3 linked regions of the Arabidopsis thaliana genome follow. The protein of the gene in region 1 interacts with the protein of each later gene in a biochemical or structural test. Each region holds a gene or a part of one and is shown in the gene's direction. Other genes may lie near its edges.

The links.
Region 2: of the proteins of RAV1 (region 1) and SNRK2.2, one has a biochemical effect on the other in vitro, tested with the Arabidopsis thaliana proteins (one study listed by BioGRID).
Region 3: of the proteins of RAV1 (region 1) and SNRK2.3, one has a biochemical effect on the other in vitro, tested with the Arabidopsis thaliana proteins (one study listed by BioGRID).

Annotation. Positions count from the first base shown.
Region 1 is NC_003070.9:4,536,977-4,547,431, forward strand, and holds RAV1 (uncharacterized protein), read left to right. Parts: upstream 1-5,191; 5' UTR 5,192-5,409; coding exon 5,410-6,444; 3' UTR 6,445-6,994; downstream 6,995-10,455. Other genes in the region: MAP1C (methionine aminopeptidase 1B), read left to right, coding at 8,023-8,161, 8,360-8,444, 8,555-8,792, 8,877-9,038, 9,126-9,167, 9,250-9,321, 9,485-9,564, 9,668-9,765 and 2 more. UniProt on the Arabidopsis thaliana protein: Binds specifically to bipartite recognition sequences composed of two unrelated motifs, 5'-CAACA-3' and 5'-CACCTG-3'. May function as negative regulator of plant growth and development.
Region 2 is NC_003074.8:18,738,343-18,749,583, reverse strand, and holds SNRK2.2 (SNF1-related protein kinase 2.2), read left to right. Parts: upstream 1-5,426; 5' UTR 5,427-5,679; coding exon 5,680-5,856; intron 5,857-6,086; coding exon 6,087-6,161; intron 6,162-6,260; coding exon 6,261-6,362; intron 6,363-6,438; coding exon 6,439-6,492; intron 6,493-6,587; coding exon 6,588-6,701; intron 6,702-6,889; coding exon 6,890-6,982; intron 6,983-7,101; coding exon 7,102-7,206; intron 7,207-7,315; coding exon 7,316-7,414; intron 7,415-7,488; coding exon 7,489-7,779; 3' UTR 7,780-7,990; downstream 7,991-11,241. Other genes in the region: AT3G50520 (Phosphoglycerate mutase family protein), read right to left, coding at 166-389, 486-561, 642-773, 926-1,036, 1,116-1,166, 1,344-1,422, 1,507-1,526; LBD28 (LOB domain-containing protein 28), read left to right, coding at 3,986-4,582. UniProt on the Arabidopsis thaliana protein: Together with SRK2I, key component and activator of the abscisic acid (ABA) signaling pathway that regulates numerous ABA responses, such as seed germination, Pro accumulation, root growth inhibition, dormancy and seedling growth, and, to a lesser extent, stomatal closure.
Region 3 is NC_003076.8:26,708,663-26,719,936, forward strand, and holds SNRK2.3 (sucrose nonfermenting 1(SNF1)-related protein kinase 2.3), read left to right. Parts: upstream 1-1,639; 5' UTR 1,640-1,672; intron 1,673-1,757; 5' UTR 1,758-2,034; coding exon 2,035-2,208; exon of another isoform or gene 2,209-2,545; coding exon 2,546-2,620; intron 2,621-2,713; coding exon 2,714-2,815; intron 2,816-2,888; coding exon 2,889-2,942; intron 2,943-3,042; coding exon 3,043-3,135; intron 3,136-3,248; coding exon 3,249-3,341; intron 3,342-3,422; coding exon 3,423-3,527; intron 3,528-3,603; coding exon 3,604-3,702; intron 3,703-3,779; coding exon 3,780-4,070; 3' UTR 4,071-4,281; downstream 4,282-11,274. Other genes in the region: AT5G66890 (Leucine-rich repeat (LRR) family protein), read right to left, coding at 4,282-5,108, 5,196-5,413, 5,519-5,721; AT5G66900 (Disease resistance protein (CC-NBS-LRR class) family), read right to left, coding at 6,269-7,101, 7,218-7,414, 7,497-7,849, 7,959-8,362, 8,453-9,239; AT5G66910 (Disease resistance protein (CC-NBS-LRR class) family), read right to left, coding at 9,676-10,508, 10,589-10,788, 10,883-11,244. UniProt on the Arabidopsis thaliana protein: Together with SRK2D, key component and activator of the abscisic acid (ABA) signaling pathway that regulates numerous ABA responses, such as seed germination, Pro accumulation, root growth inhibition, dormancy and seedling growth, and, to a lesser extent, stomatal closure.

The DNA of each region.
Region 1 (10,455 bases):
TAAATGAATGTTATATTAGCAACAAACTTTGGTAGTTGTTGGAATGGAACTAAGCACGACATTATCCACGCACTTCAAACATTTTTTCCCCGACATAAATATATCTCTAATACTACTATGTATATAGCTAACTACCAAAGCTGAGAGAGTGAGAGTAACCACAATTTCTTGAAATTTTGTCACAAGTTCTTGCATATATCGATATGTCCACACAAACAATCAAAACATTCGGATATTCATAATTATGATTGTATATCTACATGACAGAATATTAAGCAATGCGTAACAATATTTTTATGACTAGTTAATTTTGTTTCAGTTCCTAATTCCAACGGTGTCGGCCAAATAATACCTGAACCGGCCGGTTTTTAAAGAATGAATAAATAATGTGATATATGACGTGGCGTGTCGTTGGTAGTGGGGGATTAAGATGGCGCAGCCATGGCCCATGAGCGATCTTAAGTCATTCTAATTAAAGTTAAGTAAAATTATATTAGTTCATCTCTAACCGAAAGCGCGCGTTCTATGTGGCACCAAACATAGATTCTTATTTTAAAACATTATCATACTGTATATATCTCCTAACGATAATCGTGATGGATATTAATTAATCTAAAATATATCTATGCAGATAAACACTCGCTTTTAAGAAATTATTTGCTTTACAAATTAGATATAGCGTTTTGATGATTCGAGGATTTACTTTTCTTTAACCAAACGAATGTTCCTAAATACATCACCAACGAAATGTTACATACTTAGTTGACTAATCTCGTAAGATAATGATGTGGAAATCTAAATGAGGATATATAAAGAGCCGTAATTGTTAACCGATAAGGCGATAACCACTTGACATCATCGAAAGTTCGGTTAGTGGAACAATAAAAGATTAATTAGATGGTAGCAATCGGATTTTCACGTTTCTTTATTATTGCCGCTCAGTACTGTAATTCATGATAGGACAATGAATCTATTTATAAAGTAATCAACTACATTTTCGATCGAGTGATAATGTATTTTTATGTAAATATTTAATAAACTATAGCTTTTAATTATTTTAGATAATTACAGAAATCATTTAAAATATAAGTGTGCGCAAATGAAAAAGTCTATTAAGAACTTAAAGCATAATCAAAACAATTAGTTTAACTTTACAATTATGTTCATTTTATATGCCGTCATTTCTCTTACGTGATTAATAAATAGGTAAGTAACTAACGACTAAACCATCAGCATTTATAGTCCATATAAAAACCATCAACAGCTGATCCAATTGCGGAAAGTCAATGATGTAAGCAGATCCATCAGCAATTTTTCCAAATCAATTCAGATTTTAATATCTTCTTCATTCTCGCTGATAGATATTCGTTTAGACTACGTTTTCTATCTTTGGTCGCATACAGTATATAGAATAATAACAGAATCTACAAAATAATATATTCCCCGCCTAATCTTCTGGACATCATCAGTTTATTGCATCCGAAGAGGAAGAAACCTATACTTTGACGATTATCAGCCATCTTCTATTGTAATTTGATTTGAAAAAGAACTACTTATAAAGCGTTTTGTATATTCTATAGTTTTAATTTATATTATCGGTGTCACAGGGTTAATGTGAAATTTCCAGCTCAAAGACTCATATTCTTTTATGAGTATAATTGGTAGTATATTCATGAGTTATAGTGGGTATATTGATGAGATTATTGAACATATGCAAATATATACTGTTTAAGATAGCATGCAGAGTACCCAATATCAAAATTAAACCATTTATAAAAACACGTTTTTCTCGAGGCTCCATGTAATACTAAATCAGGACTCTTGTCTTGTTTTCTGAGTTAGATGAATATTGAATACCCAAGCAAGATAAAATAAAATAATTTGAGCCAGCACAAGAAATGGAATCGTTGAGTTGGATACAGGTAGGAATCCGAATAAATAATTATGTTTGAAATACATGAGCAAGATGGAGAAAATTAAAAAATTTAAAAAGATGGAGAAAATTATTCTTAAAGAAGAGTTACAGTATTACCTACCAGTTAGTATCGTTTATCAAATATATATTTAATATTACTTATTTTTATATGTTAATTCATGAAAGCTCATAAACATAAAGGGGGAGAAAAATGTTATAGTTGATTGCATTCGTGGTAGCATAAACTATTTCAAACCTAATTCTTACAATAATTGATATAAATATTATAGTTATGTTAATAATAAACCGTTGTAAATTATTTACATCATCATCTTTAGAGTCGCTATAAAATAATATAAAAGTTATTTACATTATTAAAAACTAATATAAATATATAAAATAACTTTTTTAATTGTCGTGTCTGTATATTTTTTCTTCAGTGTGTGTATTTTTAAAATTAAGAAAGACGAAACCATGAAAAAGTTACTTCAACACATTCAATGTGAAAGCTATATATGAAATAAAAAAATATCCCAACGCATTATAATTCAATTAGACAAGTCGAGTTTTCTGGTTGAGAAAAGAAAAAACTTTAACAAAAAAAATTGAAAAAAGAAAAGAAACCAAAATCGTTTTTTCCGATATATCGTGTGTTATACGTTGACAAAATAGGTACTGATGGAAATTATTTACCGACAAGAAAATAATTAAATATATCAACGAATTGACAAGCTAAATAAGCTAAAGGACCAAGTTGAGGAAAAATGAGGTCCACCTGCGGACCAATAACAACTCGTCCGTACTAATAATATCTATTTATACCTATGTTGGATGTTTCAAAAAAAAAAAAATTAGCATCATAAATCAGATACTTTTTCCTTTAGCACTCTTATCTATTTTGTTTCTCTATAAATCACATTCTAAGGTCTTCTACCTCCTTTGCTCAAAAAAAAAAAAGGTCTTCTACCTCTTTTTTCTAAAAACATACAGTATATAATTGTAGTTTTCTTATAAAGGAGTAAAAATATGATAAAAAGTTCTGTTACTCTTTTATCATATAACAAAACAACTTTCACTATCTTTGTAATATCTATAAAAATATGCAATGATATAAATTCCAAACAAAATTTACAAAACGTATAGAAGAAACTAACTAATTCTGATATGATCAAATCAAAAGTATAAAACAATGAAAGTGTACTGGTGAAAATGTCTCTCTTTTGTAAGCAGAGGTTACACAACTTCAATAATGTATCACTTACAAAACCAATTTTTCAATTTGGAGCTCAAATACTTAGAATCATAAAAGAAACATGGATGAGCCCAATCTCTCTTACGGAGACAAATTCCATGAGAAAAGAAAGCTGAGTTAGCAACAAGTGCCACGTGACAACATACTCAATTTCTTCTAAGGAAAATACAACCATCTATTTCTTTTTGTCGCATACCCACCCATATATGATATACTTAGAACCATTTTAAGTTTTTTTAAAACATAAAAATACGATTTTAAATTTGAAAATTTGATTAGAGTGTGATTATCTAATTATTGTGTTGTCTATAAATCTACACAGTCACTACTTTCTACCACACTGATTTTAACAAAATCAATTAAAGTTGATCAGCACTTATTTCTTTCATATGGGCTTAAATGCCAATTTACTTATATATATTTTGATGAAAATGTGTGGTAAAACTTAAGAAACAAAAAAATCCTAACACTAATTAGCGCCTAGGTATTTTGAGCAATGCCTCTTTAACTTAAAAAGAAAAAAACGAAAAAAGACAAAAGTAATTGTCCTGCTGTCAAGAAATGCCCATATTATTATTCATCCACACAAGACACGTACGACCATGCCTCTTAGTGATTTGTCATTGGCCCACTTCCCATCCTAGTGGATCAAATTGATAATAAATACTATAATAAATAATTACAAGAATTCAAATAGAAACCGGCAAATCAATTAATAGATATAAAAAGGAGATATAAATCGTTAACATTTTCTATTGGAGCAGGGAGAGCCAATAAAAGTCGAATCTCACGATATTTCGCAGTTCTCTAATTGGCTCTTTGCATAAAAAATGAAACCTAACTAATGGGTAGAAGAATACTTTTGCAAAGCAACAAATATATCAGATAAGATCGTAAGCTATCCACATCACTTGTTAATTGTCCTCAAACCATATTATATAATGCAAACAATTTATGGCGTTAAATCCTTACGTATTTATTCTCTATAAGAGTAAAACACACACACTGAAGGCAACTGATTTAATTGGATTTCTATTGACCAGTAGAAATACTTGTTATGATGTCGGTCGCTCGTTGGCTAAGTATTTCTTATAAATATATAAGACATATTTAAAATCTTTTTACATTACATACACCCACTTATGAGAAACAAATATAATAAAATGTTGATACCAAATATATATATATATATATAATAAAATGGGATAATTACAAGAACAACAAAAGAGAGATTTTTTATGAATTTGGAATTGGAATCTATCGAGTGCATATATTATACGGACAATAATCCTCATAGCAATACACATTTTTTCTATAAAAAGAAACGTAGGATAAGATTATAGAAAGAAGAATAAAAACCTGGAAATGGAAAATAAAGAAGATATATATCATGAGTTCATGACTAAACAACTATTTATAGCTTTTTCAATAATAATATCATTCAAGAGTGAAGAATAACAATCAGATTTGGAAGAGAAAAAAATTTAAAGAGAGACACCATTTAACATCGGTAGGATCTGAACATGGTTATCAAATCTAATACTTTCTATTTTATTATTTTTCATATAGTTATTATCGTTACTATAGTATTATAGTGAATTAAAATTTTAAGCATCAAAACTCAGGGGGGATGAACTTCACTAAAATGATGTCAATATCTCACGTGGACCCTTTATCCATTCCATGGCCCACACATGGGTCCCACTTCCCCATGCACACAGCCCACAACATATTCATTTCTATATTTGTTCCTATACTCTCTTTTCTCTTTTTCTTACATAAATAAAATACTAACTTATTATAAGGATTATTATTGCTTCGTGTGTTTTCTTCTATAAGTTACATCAACAGTTCATGAAATAGACCCTAATATAGTAACCTAAATTAAATGCCGTATATTTCATTATGTTTCCACGAAGCTTCCTTTGTGTTCTTTGAGTTGACCCATACACACCCATCTTACTTCCCATGCACCTGCACATATACTATAATTACTCCCCTCAAACACGCATTCTTACAAATATATTTTTTGTTATTACCAAATAAAAAGTGAAACATAAAATAATAATATCAGAAGTGACACTTGCTGTTTCTTATTTCCCTCCCCCCAAGCTCTTTCTCCTTCTTTCTATATATATTATACACACACACGTATACATATACACAACATAATTCACAACACAACACAAACACATTTCTGTTTTCTCCATTGTTTCAAACCATAAAAAAAAACACAGATTAAATGGAATCGAGTAGCGTTGATGAGAGTACTACAAGTACAGGTTCCATCTGTGAAACCCCGGCGATAACTCCGGCGAAAAAGTCGTCGGTAGGTAACTTATACAGGATGGGAAGCGGATCAAGCGTTGTGTTAGATTCAGAGAACGGCGTAGAAGCTGAATCTAGGAAGCTTCCGTCGTCAAAATACAAAGGTGTGGTGCCACAACCAAACGGAAGATGGGGAGCTCAGATTTACGAGAAACACCAGCGCGTGTGGCTCGGGACATTCAACGAAGAAGACGAAGCCGCTCGTGCCTACGACGTCGCGGTTCACAGGTTCCGTCGCCGTGACGCCGTCACAAATTTCAAAGACGTGAAGATGGACGAAGACGAGGTCGATTTCTTGAATTCTCATTCGAAATCTGAGATCGTTGATATGTTGAGGAAACATACTTATAACGAAGAGTTAGAGCAGAGTAAACGGCGTCGTAATGGTAACGGAAACATGACTAGGACGTTGTTAACGTCGGGGTTGAGTAATGATGGTGTTTCTACGACGGGGTTTAGATCGGCGGAGGCACTGTTTGAGAAAGCGGTAACGCCAAGCGACGTTGGGAAGCTAAACCGTTTGGTTATACCGAAACATCACGCAGAGAAACATTTTCCGTTACCGTCAAGTAACGTTTCCGTGAAAGGAGTGTTGTTGAACTTTGAGGACGTTAACGGGAAAGTGTGGAGGTTCCGTTACTCGTATTGGAACAGTAGTCAGAGTTATGTTTTGACTAAAGGTTGGAGCAGGTTCGTTAAGGAGAAGAATCTACGTGCTGGTGACGTGGTTAGTTTCAGTAGATCTAACGGTCAGGATCAACAGTTGTACATTGGGTGGAAGTCGAGATCCGGGTCAGATTTAGATGCGGGTCGGGTTTTGAGATTGTTCGGAGTTAACATTTCACCGGAGAGTTCAAGAAACGACGTCGTAGGAAACAAAAGAGTGAACGATACTGAGATGTTATCGTTGGTGTGTAGCAAGAAGCAACGCATCTTTCACGCCTCGTAACAACTCTTCTTCTTTTTTTTTTCTTTTGTTGTTTTAATAATTTTTAAAAACTCCATTTTCGTTTTCTTTATTTGCATCGGTTTCTTTCTTCTTGTTTACCAAAGGTTCATGAGTTGTTTTTGTTGTATTGATGAACTGTAAATTTTATTTATAGGATAAATTTTAAAAAGGGTTACTTAGATATGTCTCAAGAGTTTTATTAGCATGAGATGATGAAAATGTTGTTACCAAATCTTACCTTGGTTTCTTTTCATTTTATGTGTATGGGAACTCGTATTTATATGTATGCATTAGCTACTGCTTATGGTATTTGCTGCTTTTTGTATATAGATTTGAGGAGTTATGACTTATGCGTACGTAATTTTATAAAATAACTCCAACCAAAAGAGAAAAAGTTTGCAGGGTCTGTAAACGTATATAATCGTATGATGATATGATAGACCATACTCCGATACAAATAACCAAAGAGAAAGATATTTTAAAATGAATGCTATTTAAGCTTTTGCAAGATATTATTTTAAGCTTCAGAAATTATTGTGTTGGTAGAGAGATTCATGTTGCTGTTAAATAATATATATGTATTTATAATTCTATCTACTACTTTTTCGGCTTAACTCAATCTAGATATTTGTTTCTAAAAGTGTTTTAGTTTTCTTTCTTTCGCTGGCTGCGACTATGAGTATCTTCAGATTCTCTACAAACTTAGGTATATATAGCTATTTATTTCGAAGGAATTTGATGGTTAAAACGAATAACATTAAAACTCTGTTAATCTCTTACGAAATGGTATATAGTATATGCGTTAGAGTTTGAACATATGATGATAATAGTACACCTGCCGCATACATTACTATGTACCTACATAAAGGAATATATTGACCATTGATCTAATGAATGTTCCGTTCATATGCACTTTCTTTCGATACAATTCGGTGGACTATAACATTATTCCATTATAGCATAAAATCCTATTATACAATTAAAAATGCCCACGCAATTTTACGTATACTTTTGTCTATAACACACATCCACACATAATTCAAGTTGTGTTCAAATAGTAACACAGCAGTAGCTTTAGTGAAAATTATTAGACTTGTTGATACCAAAGACTAGAAAGAAAGAAAATAAATAAATGTACTAGAAAAAATCCACCATCATAATCGTTATTGTTGTTTGATTTTTGTGGATCCATTTAGATATACATTTATCAACGACTAATTCTCAATCTAACAAATTCTATAAGATAGGAAAATTTTGAAAAAGCACGATCATAATTTAGAAAAACACAAGTTAATCATAAAGTTACTAATTTAATAGCTATAATTTCTTTTAGTTACAAGAACCATAAAAATGTCGTCAAATATCTTTTAGATAATCTTGTCATAATTCAAAACTTCAAGCAAATCATATCTTCATAAACCCCATATGGCCTAAAGTAGCCTATACTTGATCGATCATATACAAGCCCAATGGGCTTTAAAGTCCATTAGTTTGTTAATTAAAATATCAAGAACCATTTTTTTTTTCTCTTCACTGCAAATTTTGATATTTTGGGTTTTAGCAGTGAAGTTTGCGAAAATGGCGTCTTCGGTTTTTCTATCCAGTTTCTCGTCATCGTCTTCTTTGCAACTCTGCTCTTCCTTTCACGGCGAGTACTTAGCTCCGTCGAGATGCTTTCTCGGAGCTCCGGTCACTTCCTCTTCTTTATCACTCTCCGGTTTGTCATTTTTACTTGTCACTGTTTCTTCGTTTGCTCTGTTCGTTATTCAATTATTGCTTCGTTTTTCATTGGAAGATATCGAAATTATTGGTCATCTGATTGGAAATTTTGAAACTTTCTCCGTTGTTCCGATTTTGAATGTTGTATAATTGAAGAACTTTGGTGTATGAAGTTTATCTTCTCTCATATCTGTAGGTAAGAAGAACTCATATTCTCCGAGACAGTTCCATGTTTCTGCCAAGAAAGTTTCTGGGTTAGAGGAAGCCATTAGAATCAGAAAGTAATTAACTTTGTTTAACTCTCTTGTATCATAAAAATGCAATCTTGAAAAAAGAATTCATCTTTTGGTCATAGAGCTAATAGTACATTAATTTGGTTTACATTTTATAGAATGAGAGAGCTTGAAACTAAATCAAAAGTTAGGAGAAATCCACCATTAAGACGTGGAAGAGTATCGCCTCGTCTTCTTGTACCTGATCACATTCCAAGGCCTCCTTATGTTGAGTCTGGTGTATTACCGGATATATCAAGTGAGTTCCAGATTCCTGGTCCTGAAGGCATTGCGAAAATGAGAGCTGCTTGCGAGCTTGCTGCTCGGGTTTTAAACTATGCTGGAACTTTGGTTAAGGTAAGATTTTAGTTTCCTTGTGGATCTTTTGTTTTCCTATGTTATGGATATGTGGTCTGAGTTGTTGTTTATATGGTTCTGCAGCCATCTGTTACGACTAATGAAATCGATAAAGCTGTGCATGATATGATTATTGAAGCTGGTGCTTATCCTTCACCTCTTGGATATGGTGGATTTCCTAAAAGTGTGTGTACTTCAGTTAATGAGTGTATGTGTCACGGAATACCAGATTCTCGCCAGCTACAGGTCCTCATGTGTGCTTTTTACTGCTTTAAGCTGAATAGCTTTGAAGGAGTTCATTTGTTTATCACTAACTATTAAGTCTTAATGCAGAGCGGGGATATAATCAACATCGATGTCACGGTTTACTTGGATGTAAGTCATTTGCGCTTCTTTTGTTAATTTGCAGACACTTTCACTTTGTTTGATTTCTACATACAACTTGAAACATCGACAGGGTTACCATGGAGATACGTCGAGAACTTTCTTCTGTGGAGAAGTTGACGAAGGTTTCAAACGACTTGTGAAGGTAGTATTCTTCTTCTTCTTCTTCTTCTTCTTCTTCTTCTTCTTCTTCTTCTTCTTCTTCTTCTTCTTCTTCTTCTTCTCTTCACTGTGTTTTGTCTTCAAGTTCACAAAAAAATGAATTCTGTTTTAATATGCTAACTGTTGTCGGTTTCTTGTTCTGTAAGGTTACGGAAGAATGTTTGGAGAGAGGTATTGCAGTTTGTAAAGACGGAGCAAGCTTCAAGAAAATCGGGAAAAGAATCAGGTTGCAACCAAAACTATTCTTGATTTCAATATAACCGTGTAGAAATGTACTATTTGAGGACACTGCTAGAACAAACAATCTCAATGCTTTCAATTTCCAACAGTGAGCATGCGGAAAAGTTCGGCTACAACGTTGTGGAGCGGTTTGTTGGGCATGGTGTTGGACCAGTATTCCACTCCGAACCTCTTATATATCATTACCGTAAGTAATCTCTTCCTTAGCAAAATCGTTCTTATGTTAGGAAACATCAATCAAAAACAATAGTTGGCTGCATATGCATATGAACCTGGACTTACGGTTGAGGAATTTTAATCCAATTTGCAGGAAATGATGAGCCTGGACTAATGGTTGAGGGACAGACATTCACAATTGGTTAGCCATTTTTTCCCCTTCCATGTCATGGCTTTCATTTGCTTATGATTAGGTGATTACTATATAATAAAAAACCGATGAATACATTATGTTGCAGAACCGATTCTCACGATTGGAACCACAGAATGTGTAACATGGCCAGACAACTGGACTACTCTGACAGCAGATGGTGGCGTCGCTGCTCAGTTTGAGCATACCATTCTGATTACTAGAACTGGTTCAGAGATTCTTACCAAATGCTAAAACTATTCACATTGATCATTTCCATTTCACCTTTTATTTGCTGATCATTTAAGGTCCATAGTATAAATTCATTATCTTTGAGACCATAGTCTAACAATTTGTGTTAGTGCCATCTTTTAAGATCTCAAGATTAGTTTGCTATTAGAAATTTTCCCACATGTTCCCTCAAGTCTTTCTTTATTCCACAAATTCCCATTTCACAACAATTATTTGCGACTTTTTTTGTTTCCCTGTCTTTTTGTGTTTAATTCTTAGTTATTTTAGATGAAGCTAGAG
Region 2 (11,241 bases), on another chromosome or scaffold:
TAACATTTGACTGTAGAAATTTATAGCAATTTACTTTATCAATCCTCCCAAATCACTTTATCAAAGTAATGGGGTCAAATGTTAAAAATTGAAAAGTTATGGAGTGAAACTTAAATTACATAAATGCTCTTCCAAGGGGAAGAAGACTAAGAGTATAGAATCTCTCTAACCAGAGGTTCTATCACCACCAAAACCTGATTGTAAGAAGCCGGTTTCCTCCAGATGACTCACATCACCCCAAACTTGGATGGTCCATTTGTCTCCGTCGAATAAACGGAACACATTGACCGATGTATTGAGTATCTTTTCAACTTTTCTTGCACTTGGACGAGCTCTTTCGTAGAGAGATCGGATCACACCTCCATGAGTCACTACTACTATCCTTTCACCTTCATCAACCACCAAGTAGACAGAAACCAATACTTAGAACATATGTGCAGTGTAGTAAACTGTGAGAAAGAAACACACAGAGAAGAGGAAGAAACCTTTATGTTTGTCGCCGATTCTCTGTAATGCAGTTGTACATCTATCGTAAAGTTTGTCAAGACTTTCTCCTCCACCCTTCATTCACATAAACGAAGCAAAAGTTAGTTGAATACAGAAACCAAGCATCATTCATATAACTAAGCTTCTTATCTTACTGGAATATCAACGTCTGTGCGGTTAGATGAAAAAGCCTTGTAAGCTTCCGGGCGAATTTTCGAAGCTTCTTGATACACAAGCCCTTGCATATCTCCTAAATGTCTTTCCCGCAAATCACGATCGGTAAGCACCTAGACAACCATTATTCGTAGTTAAACTTCTATGAAGTCTAGAAAGTCATATGGATTCAGCTTCAAAACTTAGATCCCTCTACTAAAAATCAAGCACAAAGGTGAAGACTTTAGTGGGTTTGACACATAGCATTATGTCTTTAGATGTCTACCTCAAGCTTGCCGCATTTAGCAGCAATGATCTGAGCAGTCTCAAAGGCTCTCTTCAAGTCAGAAGAGTATACATGAGATATCTTCTGCTCCTTCGATAACCGCTCTGCAACCTTCATTTCAAATGAAAGAAATGTTTTAAAAGGCATCATGATGATTAAGGTTACAACACAATCAAAAGATAACACATACTCTTTGTGCTTGTTGTCTTCCTGCATCATTTAACTCAACATCCAAATGACCCTGTAACACCAAATTATAACCACATTTCAACATCTCTAATCAAAATTCCCAATAACTATACATTCACAAAGATGCTAATCATTACTAAATACAAGATAAAGATTCAAAATTTACGATTTCTAAGTCAAGTTTCGATTCCAAAGATACAGATACAAACTCCATTATTGTTAAATTTACCTGGATTTTTCTCTCGGCATTCCAAGATGTTTCACCATGACGAACAACAACAATCTCAGCATAATCAACATCTTCAGAACTGTAGTAAAACCAACAAAGAGATTTCGTCAAAAACACGATCAAAGATGCAAATAACGAGAAGAAGCTAGAAGAAGAAGCATACTCGAATCTTGATTCCTCCATGGGAGATGCTGAAATCTGACAATTGCTTTAGATTCATCCAACGACGAGAAACCAATTCCATTGATATGACATTAACACTAACTGGGCTTTACTTAGATTTTGTTTATGGGCCTTGCCCTTTGTTCGAACGAAGCAAATATGTTTACGTTTTTTTTCCTCTCTCACGTTAAAATCAATAACAAACTTTATTACATACTACAGTACAACTTCTATAAATTAATACCCGTTAAATTAATAATTTCTATAAATTAATTAATTATTCCAGTCTCGAATTAAGATCAATATAAAAATTGATATAACTCGATAAATTAATAAGATTCTAATTTTTTTTTAAAAATCTTATATAAATATATGGTCCCATCAATAATATAAATTAATAATAATATAAATTTACCAATATATATTATAAATATCATATATAAAATATGACATTGTTTTTCTTCAATTTTTATTAATTTTTTTGTATGTTCAATTCTAATATTTTACAACATCAAAAAAAATTGTATTGTTTTTAAACTTAATAATTGATTTGTACTTGTAATTTGTTTCATAAATATTATTGATTATAAGAAAAAAAAACTTCATTTTATATCAAATTTTTGTAAGAATTTACAAAATTTGTACAATTTTAATTAATTTATCGATAACTTAATACTTCTCTAAATTAATAAATTTTTTTGGTCCCAATATTATTAATTTATAGAGGTTTTACTGTAGTTGGTTAATTTCATGGAAACATGTATAGAGAAATAAAATAGTAACATAAAAAAATCTTGCTACTGCATCCGCCATATCTGGATCTCTAACTGTAGCTGAAGAGAGGCCAAAGCAAATACGTAAAACTCTGCTAAATTTCTTATAAAATATTTGGAACGAAGCAAATAATATTTAATTATTACAATGATATTGAGCTAACTATATATTAACTTGCGGTATACCGCAGGTAGGCTTATATTTTAGTTAAACTAAAAAATTTTATTGTAAAGATGAATTATAAATAGATAATATTATTTTATTTGATTTTAAATGTATAGTAAACTGCGAGTTGTATATGTTTTGTTGATATTATTTATATTGTTTAGTGTTTAAGATTATACACTTGTATTTTAATTGTTAATTTTAGAGTTTCACCTGTAGTATACCATCTTGTATTAATATCGATCTAAACCCGTCAATTCTAGAATTTTCCTGCTTGTATTAAAAATTGAATCACATCATACACATAAAAAAATCTAATATGTTATTAATTATTATTGTATATAAGATTATAACTTTCAAAATAATATGTATGAAATTGAATATAAATATTCAAATGATGACCCGTTACTCAGTATAAAGTTTTCTTAAATCTATTTTTGACTGTTATAATATTTTTTTATGTATTGAACAGTTTATATTTGTTTTTAAAAATTCAAATTATGGCATATGCGAAAAAAACTCTAATTATTTTTTATAACGATGATATTATTTTTTGCAAAATTAGAATCATATAAAGATGAGAGGTAAACTATAATAATTAATAAAAAAATTAATATGATAATTTAGATATCAAATCTAATTTGTTTATTTTAATTGGTTACTTTTTTGGAAAATAATAATGTATTTCGTTTTTCTAATTAAATTAAATTAATTAAAATTTAGATATCAAATCTTATATGTTGATTTTGATTGGTTACTTTTTTGGAAGCTAATATATATATTTTTTGTTTTTGGATAATCATGAATTCAGTTTTATCTAGATTTTGTTTTTCAAAAATATTAACTAACCTGAATATTTTTTGGTACTATATAAGTAAAATTGCGTGGTAGGAAATTTTGACCTAAATCTGTGTTGATCAATTTTAGGTTCTTTCTCAAAACGCATTTTACAAGTAGGGAATAGAATTTGAAGAAGCATTGTGTTTAGGTTAAAAACTGAATCTCTCTATTCATCTTCCTTTTTTATTTTCATATAAATACCGATTTGATTTCATTTTATATCCATTCTTTATCTCTATTAATATATAGGGTTTAGAAATCAGGTGATATTCGCTTGATTAGATTCATCTTCTTATTATGCATTGAGGTTTGTGTTTTCATCTTCACACCTTCTCTAACATATTTGAGTGCAGTACAACGCAATCCACGATTTTGATTGGCTATTCTGATTACTATATTATTTAGAAACCTTAATCTCTTTACTGTTTAGAATTCACATAAAAATTCGTAGGTTGTGATTTTTTTTTTTCAGTTCGTGTATAGACCTAGGCATACGATTTTCCCTTTTGTTTTTGTTTTTTTCATGTTTCGGATTTTCGTGTTTAAGAAAAAGATTCTGTAAATATGTTTGTTTGATTCAGTTTAAAAGGAAAAAATTACATCATGTATTTCGATATATCCTATATTTAAATGTATTTTGTATATATTCTAGAAATGATCAAAAATGTACAATTACATTTTCTTTCTTTCTTTCACAGATTATGATGTTTCATCAAATGGACAAAATATCGACACCATGCGCGGCATGCAAGCACCTGAGGAGAAAATGCACAGAAGATTGTGTGTTTGCGCCTTACTTCCCCTCGACTAAACTGGACAACTACGAAGCGGTTCACAAGGTATTTGGAGCAAGCCATGTGGCTACACTTATCAACAGTCTTCACCCATGCCAAAGAGAATTTGCCATGGACACGCTCGCTTGGGAGGCACAAGTTCAAGCCAATGATCCGGTCAATGGCTGTCTGGGTATCATTTACAACCTCCTTAGTCAGATTAAAGACTTGGAAGAACAACTCGCGATCGTCAAGAACGAACTTGCCTCTTACTGTATCGTCCCCACATTTGTGCCACCACCTTCGATGACGAATCTGGAAATGCATAACAATCCTATGATGATACCGGAACACACACCTAATAACGGTGGTTGTTTAACGGGTCAACAGTTGTATAACGAGGCTCAACGTTTTGCATCCACACAAAGCGCTCAAATGCAAGAGACGCAGATGCAGCACGATGAGGAGAGTTACCGTGACAAAAGTTCTTATCAAAAATTTGGACCATGCTTTAACCTACATTAATCATTATCATATTGAATCTTGATAACAATGGTAAGCTTTTAAAATCTTTTTAAGTCTTGTCTAGTCGTTTGTATAACTACATTAAGATATAAATACAATTATTGTTTTTAGTTAACAAAACATCCGTTATCGTCCAGCGGTTAGGATATCTGGCTTTCACCCAGGAGACCCGGGTTCGATTCCCGGTAACGGAGCTTTTTTTGGTTTTTAAGATTCGAAAAAGTACTTTTTGCCTCATCACTATCTTTACGTTAATAAACTCAGCGGCAGTTCAAGCCGTAAACCTTAACATTTCTAATCAGGATCCTTAGTCAATTTGATTATTTCTTTTACAAATACTCCAACATTCAACAAGGACCTTGTGTAGAACTACACTCTGCCATAACAAAATAATAAAGGTGCACTTGTAGTTATGTACAAACGACTAGACAAGAGTTATAAAATTAGAAAAAGGTTAATGTAACATTGCTGTGTACGTGAAAACGTCTTATATGATCTATAAGAAGCTTTTTTTTGTTCGTGACAAAAACAATTTCTGACTTGGCTCAAAATACGACCACAATCACCCACATAAAGTTGGGATATTTTGGAAGTAAACAAGTACAAGTGAAGGTAAAACAATACATATATACATGAGACATTCACATAATTAATTTAAGAAAGACATAACAATTTACTCACCTCACAATTCGTACTCATTCAATTACAAATTTTAGGAGCAACCAAATTGTGTTGATAATATAGAACAGTAAAATTAATATTGATACCTAAAAAAACCAAAAAAAAAAATATTTGAAAAAAAAAAAAAAAAAATCACCAAAACGCGGCGGCCTTTGTCGTATCAAATCAGATAACTAAAACAAAGAAAACGGTGTCGTTGCAAACATCTCTCTCCTCTTATCTAACTTAGAGAGCGACCAATAATTGCCTTTGTCTTTCTCATTCGTCGTTGATCCATCTTTTTCCCCCAAATTCATATCCTTCCTTAGATATTTTTCTCCTTCTTCTTCTTCTAGATTCCAGCTACTCCAGAAGATTCTTCGACTTAATCTGATGTGATTAGGAAGAGCAATAGAGGAAGAGAAGAATCAGAAAAAATGGATCCGGCGACTAATTCACCGATTATGCCGATTGATTTACCGATTATGCACGACAGTGATCGTTACGACTTCGTTAAAGATATTGGCTCTGGTAATTTCGGCGTTGCTCGTCTCATGACCGATAGAGTCACCAAGGAGCTTGTTGCTGTTAAATACATCGAGAGAGGAGAAAAGGTTTCGTCTTTTTTTTTTTGAATGAAAAAAAGATTTGATATTTATAGGCTTTAGTGATTGATTGATGATCGATTATTTTTAGTTTCCAGATTTAGTAGCTTTCCTTTTTAGAGCTTGTTGATCTAGTGTCTTTAATGGTGGTTACTTACTGTTACTATGATTAAATGCTTTTGAAAAGTTTTGATATTTCTCAATAAATGATGATACTTTTTTTTATGGTTGTTTTGCAGATTGATGAAAATGTTCAGAGGGAGATTATCAATCATAGATCATTGAGACATCCTAATATTGTTAGGTTTAAAGAGGTATAATATAATACACCTTGATGTTTCTTCTGTGTGTGTTTGTGTATTAAGTCAGTGTGGTTTAGAGTTTGTTTTGTGTGTGTTTTTGTAATGGTTTAGGTGATTTTGACGCCTTCCCATTTGGCTATTGTTATGGAATATGCTGCTGGTGGAGAACTTTATGAGCGGATTTGTAATGCCGGACGGTTTAGTGAAGATGAGGTTTGGATTCTGATTTATCGTACTGTGTTGTGGTATTGATGTGTGACTACTGATCTTTAAGTTTTTTTATGTATAGGCTCGGTTCTTCTTTCAGCAGCTTATATCTGGAGTTAGCTATTGTCATGCAATGGTACGCAGAGCAGTGTTCTTGCAACTTACTTGAACTTTTCTCGTTCTCGTGTATACCACTCTGGTTTTAATTCTGTGTTTGATTTTCCTGTGAAGCAAATATGCCATCGGGATCTGAAGCTGGAAAATACATTGTTAGATGGAAGTCCGGCACCTCGTTTGAAAATATGTGATTTTGGTTATTCCAAGGTACTATTTATTTCTCTCAAGGTTTGTTTTCTGAATTCTAAGTTTATATATGCTACTGTATGGCCAAGCGCAGAACAGCGGGGGACATCTTGTGATTCCTCGTTGTGCTTCTTATCGTTCATGCTCTTTACCTACATGTGTTTCCTACTAAGTGTCTGTTTTCGCTTTGATTTCTGCTCAAGTATTAACTATGCGTTTCTTTTCTTCAGTCTTCTGTTCTTCATTCCCAACCAAAGTCAACTGTTGGTACTCCTGCATACATTGCACCAGAGATTCTTCTTCGACAGGAATATGATGGCAAGGTAAGGCCATGAGACCAATTCCTCTGTCTAGAGTTCAAACCAGCTTATCCATATGACTGTTTATACCACAAATATTCTTTGAGTTGTCCTCTGAAATAGCTGGTGTTACATTTTTCCAGCTTGCAGATGTATGGTCTTGCGGTGTAACATTATATGTAATGTTGGTTGGAGCTTATCCATTCGAGGATCCACAGGAGCCACGAGATTATCGAAAGACAATACAAGTAATGTTTTTCAATTGTTCTTGCTGTCTCATTCATCATCATTCACAAACTCATTATCTTTCAAACGTTGATTGTATATGTTTGCTTCTCCACTGATTTTAAAACGCAGAGAATCCTTAGTGTCACATACTCGATCCCAGAGGACTTACACCTCTCACCAGAATGTCGCCATCTAATATCGAGGATCTTCGTGGCTGATCCGGCAACAGTAAGTTTTACATTTCAAAGAAAACTTTGTTCTTTGAGTTCTAAATAGACAAACTGAGAGATCCAATGTGGCAGAGAATCACTATTCCGGAGATCACATCCGATAAATGGTTCTTGAAGAATCTACCAGGTGATTTGATGGATGAGAACCGAATGGGAAGTCAGTTTCAAGAGCCTGAGCAGCCAATGCAGAGCCTTGACACGATTATGCAGATAATATCGGAGGCTACGATTCCGACTGTTCGTAATCGTTGCCTCGATGATTTCATGGCGGATAATCTTGATCTAGACGATGACATGGATGACTTTGATTCCGAATCTGAGATTGATGTTGACAGTAGTGGAGAGATAGTTTATGCTCTCTGAGATTCCTGAGGACAAAGTCTGTTTTGTCCGTACTGTTGAGACACACCACTGGAGTTTTGTCTTAGCTCCACGCACTCCATCGTTCATTTTTGGATCGTTTGTTGTTTTTTACTCTACAAGCTTTGGATTCACATACATATATATGTATTGTAATGTAATATGTAATATATTCTATGTATTTCTCTTTGTTTAATAACTATTGGCACATTTTATACAAATGATATGGTACTAGAAAAAGAAATGTAACTAACCCACAAGGTTCTGAGATGGAGCTTAGCTTGAGTCTTGGTTAAGAATGTTATGATCTATGTTTCACACGACACACGATTTCATGTATAGTGTTATTCGACATCGTGATGGAGGACATGGCTTATGATCATCAGCTTTGATCATGCCGCTAGACATTTGATTAAGATTTGCAATTAGTAAAACTTAAACTGTCTATATTGATGAAAAGATTTAGCATTTTATGATACCATAATGTAGATTTGTGTGTGGATGAAAAATTTGTATAAATATTTTCTACCCTAGATTATGTAAAAGACATGTTTTCTGTGGAGAATGCTTGGTAATGCAATGTCTATTGACTATTGGCAACGACTATTGGCATTACGATAATTCATCAAGGAATCATTACTACTTCTCTCCAATTCATGATCAACTTTTGACACATGACAAAAATCTTCTTCTGTAAAAAAAAAGCTAAAGAGAAGATATTTATGTTACAAAAACTATGTTAATATGATTCGAAAAGTTAAAATAAGGAGAACAAAGAAATGTAACTAATAGTTAAACTTTTAGAGGATTTTTCTGATTTAAAATTAGAACATGTTAAATTTGCATAGGATAAGAATAACAATTTACCTTTTTCGTGCAGTAAGAAACATGTGAATACTATAATTTTCAATATTGACGGAAACAAATTTTCTGGTGTTGTGATTTTGGGACGTAAGTGGTTAATGGTTTGCGATGGAGCCGGAATTTGGTCATAGCATAATGTGTATAGTATATTTTCTATTGAAAATTTTGTGGATCAGAATATAATTTGGGTTTTATAGTTTTGATGTTTTGTTATGCATGAAACATTGCTATTTATAAATAGTTTTTCTATTATTTCTCACCATTATTATTATTTATTATAAGCCATAAAATGGAGATTTAATTCTACAATATGCCACAGTTAAGGTAAACCAATCTCATTTATTCTCTTCTTTTCAATGTCTTCATTACTTCTACTTATATTTTAAAAAGACATCATTTTCTTTGATTATGATACTATTTTATTGCTATTAGTCAACGTTAAAAGGCATTAATTTTGGTTTTGATTCTTCACAAGAATTCATTGTATGGTTTTCAATAGTTATTAATGTTAGCTTAAAGATAAGCAATTTAGTGTGGGATTTTAATAACCAAACGTTACAAAATTTAGTGTTTTGGGCTGATTTTTGTTTTAAATTCATTTCTTATATTTGGGGCTATTTTCTTTATTTCGTTAATTAATTTCATTAAGAGCAGTACTATTGCTATAAATAAAAGTTAATATTATATAAGTATTTAAAATGTAATGAAAATTTTGTGTGTTAATAACATGAATATAATTATTAATATAAGACAAAATCATATATCAAAAAAGTAATATAAAATAAGTATTATAATATATTATATCTTATATTAATATATGTTATATCAGATTTAATTCTACAATCTGGTTTGGTGATACGTTAACGTTATGAATACGTTAAGGTAAACCAATCTCATTTATTCTCTAGTTTTATATATTATGATTATATAAAAATAAAATTACTATTAAGGAGGACAAATCATTTGTGAATGTCAAATGTCGCAATAGTATGAAAAGTTAAATATAAGATATATACTTGTAATACCTCAAATACCAAAAATAAAAATTATTAATCCGAATATACTACATTTGTTTTAGTAATTCATATACATTTGGGTATATTTGGTTTTTTTTTTGCCGTTTTAGATTTATTATTTATTATAAATAATGAGAACTGTTACATAGACGATTCTACCACGGACAATTCCTTCCGACCCTTATTAGATCCAAGAGAGACGACACATTCTTCTTCTTTTCCATGCGCTTGATGGACACCTTCAATATCTTCTCTGCGTAGAATCTTGGCGAACAACTATAATTGTACATCGTTGTAGACCTCCTGCACACTTGTCTCCATTAATATGCAAATTTGCTAATAAATCGCAGTAGCTGGGACTCGAATCCTAGACCTTTTGGTATAGAAGCATTAATGAACCTTTGGTTAATCATTGGGCCAAGAGGGCTTTCATGGATATATTTGAGTTAAAAGTAATCCTTTGTACTCAAAATATCAAAGATTATTGTGAATTAATCAAAATAAGTTTGTGATAAATTACACATAAATTGAGAAATGTTATAAACAGAGAAAGAGATAGAAGAAATGAGTGTGTTATTCCATTGAGATAAAGGGTTCTTTATATAGGAGTACAAGGAAAGGGTAAAACCCTAGAAACATCTAGATGATGGGCTTAGATGATGGGCCTTATAATGGGCATCCATCTTTATTCATAACACTCTCCCTGATGACCATTATAGTATCATAACTCGTAAAGTATTTGAAATGCTGCCTCATTAAAAACCTTACCAAGAAAACCCAATGGGAAAAACCATGGTTAAGGGAAAAAGAGTGCAACATACAATTACTCCCCCTTATGAGTATATTCGTCGAGATCTTTGAGACGGCGTAATCCGATACGATAGACTAACTTCTTGAAAGTAGCAGTAGGTAGCGCCTTGGTGAATAAGTCAGCCAGATTATCATTCGAACGGATCTGTAGAACTCGTACATCGCCGCTCTTTTGTAGATCGTGTGTGTAGAAGAATTTTGGTAGGATGTGCTTTGTTCTATCGCCTTTGATGTATCCGTCTTTGAGTTGTGCGATGCATGCTGCATTGTCTTCGTACATAATTGTTGGAGTCTTTTTCCCTGCATATATACCACAGTCTTCTTGTATATGGTGAACTATGGATCTTAGCCATACACACTTGCGGCTAGCTTCATGAATTGGTAAAATCTCTGCATGATTAGAAGATGTGGCAGAGAATAAACAGTATTTGAGAATAAGTCTGCCAAATCTTCTCTTGAACAAATTTCTGGATAAAGTACAACGCCATTCTTCTGCTCATGAATCTTTTAGATGATTCATCTTGACCATCTTATTTATTTCTCTAAATATCATTAGTGTATAATATTCATTTGGATGATTGATAGAATTTTTTAATATTCATCAAGTGTATTATTTGCGTGTTCTTTAATGTCTCGTTAAAAACCTTGTCATAGAAAAATCATGTGGGATAAAAACTATGATAAGGAAAAAGGGTACATCCACGCATATCATTCAATCTCCCCCTTGGAAACATCTTCTTCATGAGATGATTTTCAATCAAATACAATATCTCGT
Region 3 (11,274 bases), on another chromosome or scaffold:
TAGTGGTTTATCACATATCCGACGTCAACCGGAAATATTAAATTAAAAAGTATGAATAATCTATCTTTGTATATCCGCATTTACATTTTTTTTTGTTTCTGGAAAAGTATCGATCCTGTTATATATACCTAAAGTTTAAAATGCGAAATAAGAAACAAAAAGAGTTTAGTTTATGAAAACATTATCATAATGATACCAAAAAGGCTAAGGAAAAACAAATTACAAAAAGGCTACATCATTTTTTAAAAGAGAGTGTGTGCTTCACATATAAACAAGGAAACGCATATAATAATCATCAAGTAGCTAGATGAAGCTAAAGAAGTAGTTAAGTGTGAATGCTTGGCAATTAAGATTGTGTTGGTTCATTTATTAACAATCTTTGACCACTCACTAATTTATTTTTGGCTCTCTCTTCTATATCATCACCGTTTTATCTTTATAAACCATCCCTCAAGACTCTCCCAATATTACATGATGTGTTTAATCCTCACGAATTCGCATGAATCAAAACCGGCTGAAAAACAGATGTAACATTTAAGTTAACATACTCACACCAATCTAAATTATTAGACTTTCATTCACTTTAACACATTTGTCCATACCATGATGATCATAACAATCAGTAGCTAAATCAATGTGAGTGTGGCTTAGATATTTGATCTGAATGATTCATGAGAAACATGGATACTTAATGTTCATGTGCATGTGCATATAATAGTATATTAATCTCACCAGTAGGATGCTTAGTATAGCAATAAAGAGAAGGTGGTGAAATTGATGAGCATCGGCCATTAAATTAAGCACTGACCCATTAATTGCGCACTTACCCATAAACACCATTCACTCCTTTTCATTAACTTAAGAGTAAAATTATACATACACCTCGCTATCTCTAACACTAGTCACACTAGTGTACCTTCCTCGGTACTCTTATCAATGTCTCGTGTCGCAATAAATCCATATAAAGATTTCTAACTAGGTCAATCCAACATCCAATTTAATACAACAGTCCTTAGTAGATTCTAATTTAAGTGTGTCTCTATATATATATGGACCGACAAAATCAATGACCTAAGATTTGACTATATATTTCATGCAAATATGATAAAATGCTATTCATCCAATTAATCATCAATATTGTAATTGGGCTGGCCTTTTGCTTATATCTTTAGGCATTTTCTTTAACAAAATTAGAGCCAGGCCCATCAATTAAATTGAAAAATGCTTAGAAGTTGTCACGTCACTGTCCATGTCATCCATGGTGGGATTGGGCTGGCCTAAAGGACTTTTCTATGTAAAAATTAGAGGCAGGCCCATCAACTAAATTAAAAAATGCTTAGAAGTTGCCACGTCAGTGTCAATGTCATCAGTGTCTATTTCTAACGCCGTCAAGTAACGGAATAACGCAACCGAATATTCTTTCATCACATGGCCGCTTCTGCAGCACGTGACTTTCAAGCTTCTGTTTTCCTTATGAACTAAGTTTTTCTGTTTCCTCCAAACTATTTTTTTTAATTAGAATATCTTGTTATTTATAACGAATATATCTTCTTCTTTTACTTATTTTTAACACAAATATTTATTTGTTTGATACGAATTCTCAAAATGAGAAAAACGAAGAAAAATAGAAAAAAATCGAAACGGATAAATACAGAGAATTTAGAGAAAAAAGGTTTGTATTTTAGGAGACAAGGACGAGTGAAGTCGTGCTTTTTCTTTTTTTATTTCATGTTAATTTTAATATTTTTGGGTTATAGTTTCTTAGGAAGCAACATCAATCATCAAAACGCGGCGGCTCTTGTCGTATCAAAGCAACTGAACGTTGTCGTTTTGGGACAATCCTTATCTCTTGGGGCAACCAATTATTGCCTTTTTTCTTCCTCTCTTTCCTTATTCGTTCTCTTCTTGAAGATATTTTTCCATTTATTTTCTCGAATCTTCTTCTTCTTCCTAGATTCCAGCGACTTAACAACAACAACAACAACATATTCTCTGCTGGGTATTAGATTCGAATTTCTCTTTTTGTGATCAGAAATGGATCGAGCTCCGGTGACCACAGGACCGTTGGATATGCCGATTATGCACGACAGTGATCGATATGACTTCGTTAAGGATATTGGTTCTGGTAATTTCGGTGTTGCTCGTCTTATGAGAGATAAACTCACTAAAGAGCTTGTTGCTGTCAAGTACATCGAGAGAGGAGACAAGGTTTCATTTTTAAAAATCTCATCTTTTTCTATTTTTGGAAGTTGATGATATTTATTTAGTCCAGTGATCGTTCATTTTTAGTGTTTGGTTTAGCTTTCACTTTCCAGATTTATTGGTTTCGTACTTAAAGTTAGCGTTTTTAGATTTTGATGATTATGCTTTTGAGTGCTTTTAATGTGATTTTAAAGATGTGAGCTTCCTAACACTTGAATGATGATTTTAATTTGTGATTTATGTGAAATTTTGGATATTGAAATGATTTTTTTAGTTGGTTTTGAGTGTTCTGCTTTTGTAGATTAGGACAGTTGTGAATGACTTGTAACTATGGGAGTTGCAGATTGATGAAAATGTTCAAAGGGAGATCATTAACCACAGGTCACTAAGGCATCCTAATATTGTCAGATTTAAAGAGGTAAAATTTATACACTTTTCTTCAGTACTTGTCTTTTTGGAATTTGTTAAGCCAGTGACTCTTTTAAACTCTGTTTCTTGTACTTGAGGATAGGTCATTTTGACGCCGACTCATCTGGCTATCATAATGGAATATGCTTCTGGCGGTGAACTTTACGAGCGGATTTGCAATGCAGGACGGTTTAGTGAAGATGAGGTTTGTATTTGGTTCTCTTATCGGGTTTACAGGTCTCCGGTTTCCTTATGGTTTGATCTCTTCTTGTAAACAGGCTCGGTTCTTCTTTCAGCAGCTTCTATCTGGAGTCAGTTATTGTCATTCGATGGTATGTAGAGAATCTGTTTCATGGAGCCTATGGACTGGTTGTATTCTTGTTTTTTTCTAACTTGTTGTTAATACTCTACTTTTTTTCATGTGCTGTGAAGCAAATTTGCCATCGTGACCTGAAGCTAGAGAATACATTGTTGGATGGAAGTCCTGCTCCTCGATTAAAAATTTGTGATTTTGGATATTCAAAGGTATCACAAATGATTTTGTTCTTTTGGTATCAGAAACTATACACTTGTGGTTCCTCCATTGTCATGTTCAAATGTGTTTTTAAAGTGTTTGCTTATGCATTTCTTTTTGACAGTCTTCTGTTCTTCATTCACAACCAAAGTCAACTGTTGGTACTCCTGCATACATCGCTCCAGAGGTACTGCTTCGTCAGGAATATGATGGCAAGGTAAAGGCTTTTAGAGAATTCCTCTGTAATCTCTGTATTTCTAAGGATGAATAGCCAATCATTGAGTGTTACGGTTACCAGATTGCAGATGTATGGTCATGTGGTGTGACCTTATACGTCATGTTGGTTGGAGCGTATCCGTTCGAAGATCCAGAAGAGCCAAGAGACTATCGGAAAACAATACAGGTAACCGCTTAAAACGTTGTTCCTTTTGTTCATCTCTTGATGTTCCTCTTATTCTCTTAATGATTCTGAAACACAGAGAATCCTTAGCGTTAAATACTCAATCCCTGATGACATACGGATATCACCTGAATGCTGTCATCTTATTTCAAGAATCTTCGTGGCTGATCCCGCTACCGTAAGTCATTCCCTTTCCTCATCTCTAATCTTTAAACCATCGGCGAGATGACTGATGTTTGATGTTGTTTGTTACAGAGAATAAGCATACCAGAGATCAAAACCCATAGTTGGTTCTTGAAGAATCTCCCTGCTGATCTAATGAACGAGAGCAACACAGGAAGCCAGTTCCAGGAGCCTGAACAACCAATGCAAAGCCTTGACACAATCATGCAAATCATCTCTGAAGCCACAATTCCCGCTGTTCGAAACCGTTGCCTAGACGATTTCATGACTGACAATCTTGATCTTGACGATGACATGGATGACTTTGACTCTGAATCTGAAATCGACATTGACAGTAGCGGAGAGATAGTTTACGCTCTCTAATAAAAAGCCTTTTTTAACAACCAAAACACTTCTCTATCTGTTCTAAGACCAGTAGTGTTCTGATCCTCTGGTTTCAAATTCTACCAATTTTTGTATTGTCTCTGTTTGTTTCTTGTTTTCTTCATGCACACATATATCATATATGTAATGTAAAATATCATCTGTGTATATTATATATATATTCCAATGTCACACAAAAGCAAATTAACAGTTAAAACAGTTGAAGCAAGTTGAGGTTATGTTCTGTTTTTTCCTCTGTGATCGTCAGATTCTTCATTTCTGGTTTCAATATTTTCCACAAGAACGCAGTATCTTCGTCGCATTTCACTTCCAGATTCTCTAGATTCTTCACAGAATCCGGTAACTCGCATCGATAACAATCTTTCATCGAAATCTTCTCAAGCTTCTTGAGCTTTCCAATTTCTAGAGGCAGGTTTTTCAGTTGGAAGCCACCAGAAACATCAAGAAACCGCAAATTGTCGAGTCTGTCAATCGTTTCAGGTAGCTCTAAGAGACTAGCACAAGAACTCAGTCTCAGCGTTTCAAGGTCCCTTAAGTCACCTATAGCTTCTATGACTCTGCAAAGCTTGTTACAATTTGTGACACTAAGCTTCTTCAATGAAACAACTTGAGAGATCCAATATGGTAATTCATCAAGATTGTAGCAATAGTCAATCTCGATTTCCTGTAGACTTTGTAAAGTTTCAGAAACATCTTCTAATTCGTTGAGAGCATCAACAACGTGACAAAACCATAAGGACAACTTCTCAAGACTCTTGAGACCAAGTTTGGGAATGTCAAGCAAACTGATTGAAACTTTCTCGAATCTGATCCGTTTCAGGTTTGGTAACGAGCTGAGACAAGACAAGTTAGTCAACTTTGCAGGCTCAAGACCGTGATTTATGATAATCACAACCTTCAATTCCTTCATAGTAGCAATGAAGTTTGGTAATGCATAGTTTGATGAAGAGATATTAAGAACTAAAGCTTCAACATTTGGACAATCCATTTCAAACCAACTTGATGCAAATGAATCATCTGTAAACAAAAAAGAAGAAGATCAATCATATGAAGTAAATATGATTAAAGGGTGTATGAAACAGAGCAAAGAAATAATTATATTACCAGTAGAGATAGAAAAGAGAGATGCATTAATAACAATAGGTTGTTTTGGATTTAAACACCAGTTTGGGAATTTGTTATCTTGTATCTCCAAGTTTAATCTTTTCCTTTCGAAAATCGAAGACGACTCTTTTAGGCATTGATTTATAGCAAATTCTCTAAGGACGTTGTCTTGTTTAACCAATAACTCATTGTAGAAACCATCTTCATACTCATTTCTCCTATATTAAAGCAAATAAATAAAGGAAAGTTGGGAAAAATATGGTGAAACCGTTTTCTATAGGCTTTAGGGTTAAGAATTGGTAGATGAATGGAAAGTAACATACCCAATAGGAAGAAGTTTAAGGAGATTGCGAGAGGCAAGATCTTGGAGGTTATTCATACCCTCTTTACCGTATGATGCAGACCATAAGTCAATTATAGTGGAAGCTATTATCCTTTGGTCTTCAAGAAATGAGGCCATGTCCAAGAAACACTCTCGAAGATTGTGGGGCAAGGCATCAAAGCTTTGAATCGAATTCGAATTCATAATGGTTCCTATGAAGGGAGAGGAGAATTATGAATTAAGATGAAAACCAAGCAATTTGAGAGAAATTTTAATCTATTGACCGACTCTTTCTTTGATTATAAAAAACGTGACTCTTCATAAAAGCCATTAGATCAAATTTATAACGGAAAAGTCACGCGGTACTTTGAAGTTTCAAACAAACCATTGTTTGAATCCCAGAACAGAAGTTTAGCTAGCAAAGGAAAAAGGAGACTTGACTTCACATTTTAGGATTTTCAAAGAATTTACCAACATTATATTTTTAACATTAAGAATGTTGAATATTACATTTATAGTTTGTCAAAAATGTTGGTGAATAACTCTGTTCAAATCTATTCAAGTTAGATAAGGATCAAGGATTTAGTAGTACTCTTAAATGGTTTTAAAAGATTGACCTACACAAAATTCTTTGGCATGACATTTTCTCTGTACTTGGACTCAGTAGCCATTATAATGTATATAACAACGAAAATAATGAATAACAAACATTACAAGATCCACAGAAGCTACTACGATAACGTTCTTTCACTTAAAACATTTGAAGCAAGTTCAGGTTATGCTCTATTTCCTCCTCCTGAACTCTCAAATTTCTCATTTTTGGCTTCAGCCTTTCCCACAACAATCCAGTTTCTTCATCGCATTTGACCTCCAGATTCTCTAGATTCGTCACTGACTCCGGCAACTCGCATCCCGAACACTTTCTCATCGAGATCTTTTTCAGATTCTGCAGTTTGCCAATCTCTTGAGGCAACTTTCTCAATCCTAAGCAATGAGAAATATCCAGAAACCGCAAGTTGCTGAGTCCCTCAGTCGCTTCAGGCAGCTCAGAGAGATTCATAGAAGAACACAGCCTCAACACTTCTAGTCTACTCAAGTTGCCTATAGCTTCTGGAAGTTGAGAGAGCTTGTTACAGTTTGTGATGCTAAGTGTCTTCAATGAAACAATTTCAGAGATCCAATACGGTAACTCATCAAGATCATAGCAGTAGTCTATGTCAATCTCTTGTAATTTCGATAGAGCATTAGAGACAACTATATCTTCTGTGTCGTAGAAAACCTCACCGAAACTACACATGACCAAAGACAGCTTCTTAAGACTGCTGAGTTGCAGTTGGGGAATGTCTAGCAAAGTGATTGAAACTTTTTCCAATCTAATCCGTTTCAGGTTTGGTAATGAGCTGAGACACGAGAAATTACTCAATCTTGCTGGATAAAAACCGTGATTTGTGATTGTCAGAACCTTCAGCTTCTTCATTCCAGAGATGAAGCTTGGCAATGCATAGTCTGATGAAGAGAGATTTAGAACTAAAGCCTCAACATTGGGGCAATCCATTTCCAACCATTTCGATGAGAACAAATCATCTGTAAGAAAAAGAGAGACCAATCATAGTTATAGAGAAGTCATATTTCTAGAAACAGCAGAGATTTGTATAATCATTAAGTTTAATTTTCAGAAAAAGAAGACCCCAAAGAATTACCCGTAGAGATAGACAATAAAGAGGCATTAATAGTATTCAAACACCAGTCTGGAAATGTATTCTCTAGTATCTCCAGATTTAGTCTTTTTCTTTCTAAGTTTTCCTTAAATTCGCTTTGACAGATAGCCAACTCCCTAAGGATATCATGTTGAGTCACTAAGAAGTCATTGTAGAAACCGTCTTCGTGCTCATTTGTGCTGATAAAGAAATAAATAAGTTCCACTAATGGTAGATGGCAAGAAGGTGCAAAGATATAGATTTGAAACATAAATAACATACCCGAGAGGAACAAGTTTAAGTAGATTCTGGGAGGCAAGGTCTTCAAGGTACATATACAAGATACTACTACCTTTACCGTATAATTCCACCCACATATCAATTATTACCGAAGCACGTATCTTTTGGTCCTCAAGAAATGAGCCCATGTCCAAAAAGCACTCCTTAAGGTTGGGATCCAGAGCATCAAAACTAGGCTGCAAACATTCTAGCACAGTTGGATAAGGCTTACCAAGAATTTTTTCCCCTTCAGACCAGCTTTCCACCTGACCTTTCCATGTATTTAGAGATCGTCCTTTGAGTGAAACACCCACTACTTCAATTACGATTGGGAATCCATTGCAACGTTTCAATATCTGCAATACTCACCATGTGAAAAAAGAAAAAGATGAATCTATTGATATAGTTACAGATTTCGTAGATCACAAATGTATAGAGGTTCATCTAGATGAATGAAACAACAACCTTCTGGAGGAGATCTTCGTACTCATCAGGAGACGTGTTACAAGGTCGCGATGCCCAATGAATGAGAAGGGCTCTAGCATCATCATCTTCCAAAGGTTTCAAACGATAATTGGAATCAAAACTCGGAAAGTCAAACCGAGAAGTCACCAAAATCTTATAATTTGGTAACTTAATTTGAAATTTCTGAAGGAAAGAATCCGCTCCCCGCCACACATCATCCAACACCAACAATATAGGACCATTTTCTTTAAGTTCCTCCAGCAGTTTTCTTAAGCCAACTTCTGCTTGAGAATCATTCTCAAATGTAAGTGCATTGTAACCGTTGTGCTGGAGTAAATTCTGTACTATTACCCTAAAGTTAGGAGTATTTGACACAACATTAAAGAAGATATGCTTGAACTTCCCTGCCAAAGGAAACTACATGAGAAACCAGCTCAACTATTCACGAGTAAAAATTGAAACTTTAAGACTTAATGTGGATCAACAATACATACCTTTGATATCTGGATCGTCACAAAGCCGACTAACCAGCGTGGTTTTCCCGCAACCAGGAGGAGCAGAAACCACAAGAGTAACCACAGAATCGTCAAGGAGTCTCTTCTTTAACTCCCCCAATGGCCAATCCAATCCAACAATAACCTTATCAAGCTTGGGAACCGAACAAAGATCCCTAAAAACAGGCGCAGGAACACTCAAAAGGTCCATTCTTTTACTTAAACCATCAACCGAATTCACAAGGTTTCCCGTCAAACCCAACAACGTCAACTGATTCCTATGCTGAAGAAGCTGAAGATCAATCTGACAGAACTTAAGCATATCCTTATTGATTCTCTCAATTTTTCTAGTATATTTAGATTTCTCGTACCACTTGACTCTTGGAAACTTCCGAACAGCTACATCAGCTCTTTCGATCGTATCCCTAAGTTCCTTTAGTTCCTTTACACCAAAGTCAAGCTCTTTTTGCATCGAATCAATCTTTTGAGTTAACGGAAACAATATCTCCATTGTTGATACGAGATCCTTGGACAAGGGTTTGAAAGCTTTGAACTTTTTTGCTTCATCAATCACAACTTTCAGGAGCTTGGAAAACACAGCTTCCCCAATAGAACCTATTCCCAAACTAGCCCAATCGTTCATTCTTTCACTTCTCAGACAAAACCCAGAATCCAAAAAAAAAAAAAAAACTTGTTTGTAGAATCGCTGAAAATCGAAAAAGGGGATCACTGAAATATCAATGTGTGGTTCATAAAAATGTAGATAGACGAAGGAGACGAATTGCATAGCAAAGCTGTCGCCTTTGACTTCTCAGACTCGGTCCCTTGCCGCGCAATGACCAAGGAAAACGACTGCGTTTGCGTTTGGTCTTTTACGTTAACCACACGTTGTTCGATAGACGGAACGTGCTCTCCTCGTACGTGCGAGAGTATGCCTTTCTTAGATTGGGCCTTTTTCAAAGCGGCTTATTCAAATTAAGCCTTTATGTTTCTACGGCCCAATATAACATGCGTATTTGAAAAGCTCATAATTTAAAATCACTAGTACATACAATGATACAGCGTGGTTAGTAATTTCATTACAGAGCAATAAACTAGTATCAAACCCGAGACATAGCATGTTGACTCTTGTAATATTATTACTCGTTTAGTCTAGATTGTGATCATTAAAGAGTCAATAAGAATACACAAGCTACGAAAATGTTTTTTTTTTCACTCAAAACTTAAAACGTTAGAAGCAACTTCAGGTTATGCTCTGTTTCCTCCGTGTGAACTCTCAAATTTCTCATTTCTGGCATCAACCTTTCCCACAACAATCCAGTTACTTCATCGCATTTGACCTCCAGATTCTCTAGATACCTCACTGAATCCGGCAACTCGCATCCCGAACACTTCCTCATCGAGATATTCTCCAGTTTCTGTAGTTTGCCAATCTCTTGAGGCAACTTTCTCAATCCTAAGCAATGAGAAATATCCAGAGACCGCAAGTTGCTGAGTCTCTCAGTTGCTTCAGGCAGCTCAGAGAGATTCATACAAGAACACATCCTCAACACTTCTAGTCTACTCAAGTTCCCTATAGCTTCTGGAAGTTGAGAGAGCTTGTTACAGTTTGTGATGCTAAGTGTCTTCAATGAAACAACTTCGGGGATCCAATATGGTAACTCATCAAGATCATAGCAGTAGTCTATGTCAATCTCTTGTAAATTCGATAGAGCTTTAGAGACATCTATATCTTCTGTGTCGTAGAAAACCTCACCGAAACTACACATGAAAAATGATAGCTTCTTGAGACTGCCGAGTTGCAATTGAGGAATGTCCAGCAAAGTGACTGAAACCTTTTCAAATCTAATCCGTTTCAGGTTTGGTAATGAGCTGAGACACGAGAAATTACTCAATCTTGCTGGATAAAAACCGTGATTTGCGATTGTCAGAACCTTTAGCTTCTTCATTTCAGCAATGAAGCTTGGCAATGCATAGTCTAATGAGGAGATATTAAGAACTAAAGCCTCAACATTGGGGCAATCCATTTCCAACCATTTCGATGAGAACAAATCATCTGTAACAAAAAAAAAAGGTGGTCATATTTCTATGCATGATTTTCAGGGGAAAAAGAAGAAGAGGATCTTAAAGAATTACCCGTATAGATAGACAAAAGTCGAGCATTAATAGGTTGATTTAAACACTCGTCCGGAAAGTTGTCCTCTCGTATCTCCAAATTTAGTTTCTTTCTTTGCATGATTGGTTCCAATTCACTTTGAAAAATAGCCAACTCCCTCAGAATATTATGTTGAGTGACTAACAACTCATTGTAAAAACCGTCTTCGCGCTTATTTGTCCTGGTAGTAAGTAAAACAAATAAGTTCATGATCAAATGGTAGATGGCAAGAAGGTGCAATGAAACAAATGTTGTAAAAAACAACACCAACGTACCCGAGATGAACAAGTTTAAGCAGATTCTGGGAAGCAAGCTCATTAAGGTATAACATGAACTTGTTAGTACTAGAACTACCTCTACCATATAATTCCATCCATATGTCAATTATAAGCGAAGCACGTATCTTTTGGTCCTGAAGAAATGAACCCATGTCCATGAAACACTCTTTAAGATGAGGTTTCAGGACATTGAAGCTAGGCTGCAGACGTTGTCGCACAGTAGGATTAGCGTTACCAAGAATTGTTTCCCCTTCAGACCAGCTTTCCACTTGACCTTTCCATAAATACAGAGCTTGTCCTTTAAGTGAAATGCCGACTACTTCAATTACGAGAGGGAATCCATTGCAACGTTTCAATATCTACCATGTGAAAAAAGAAGATGAATCTAG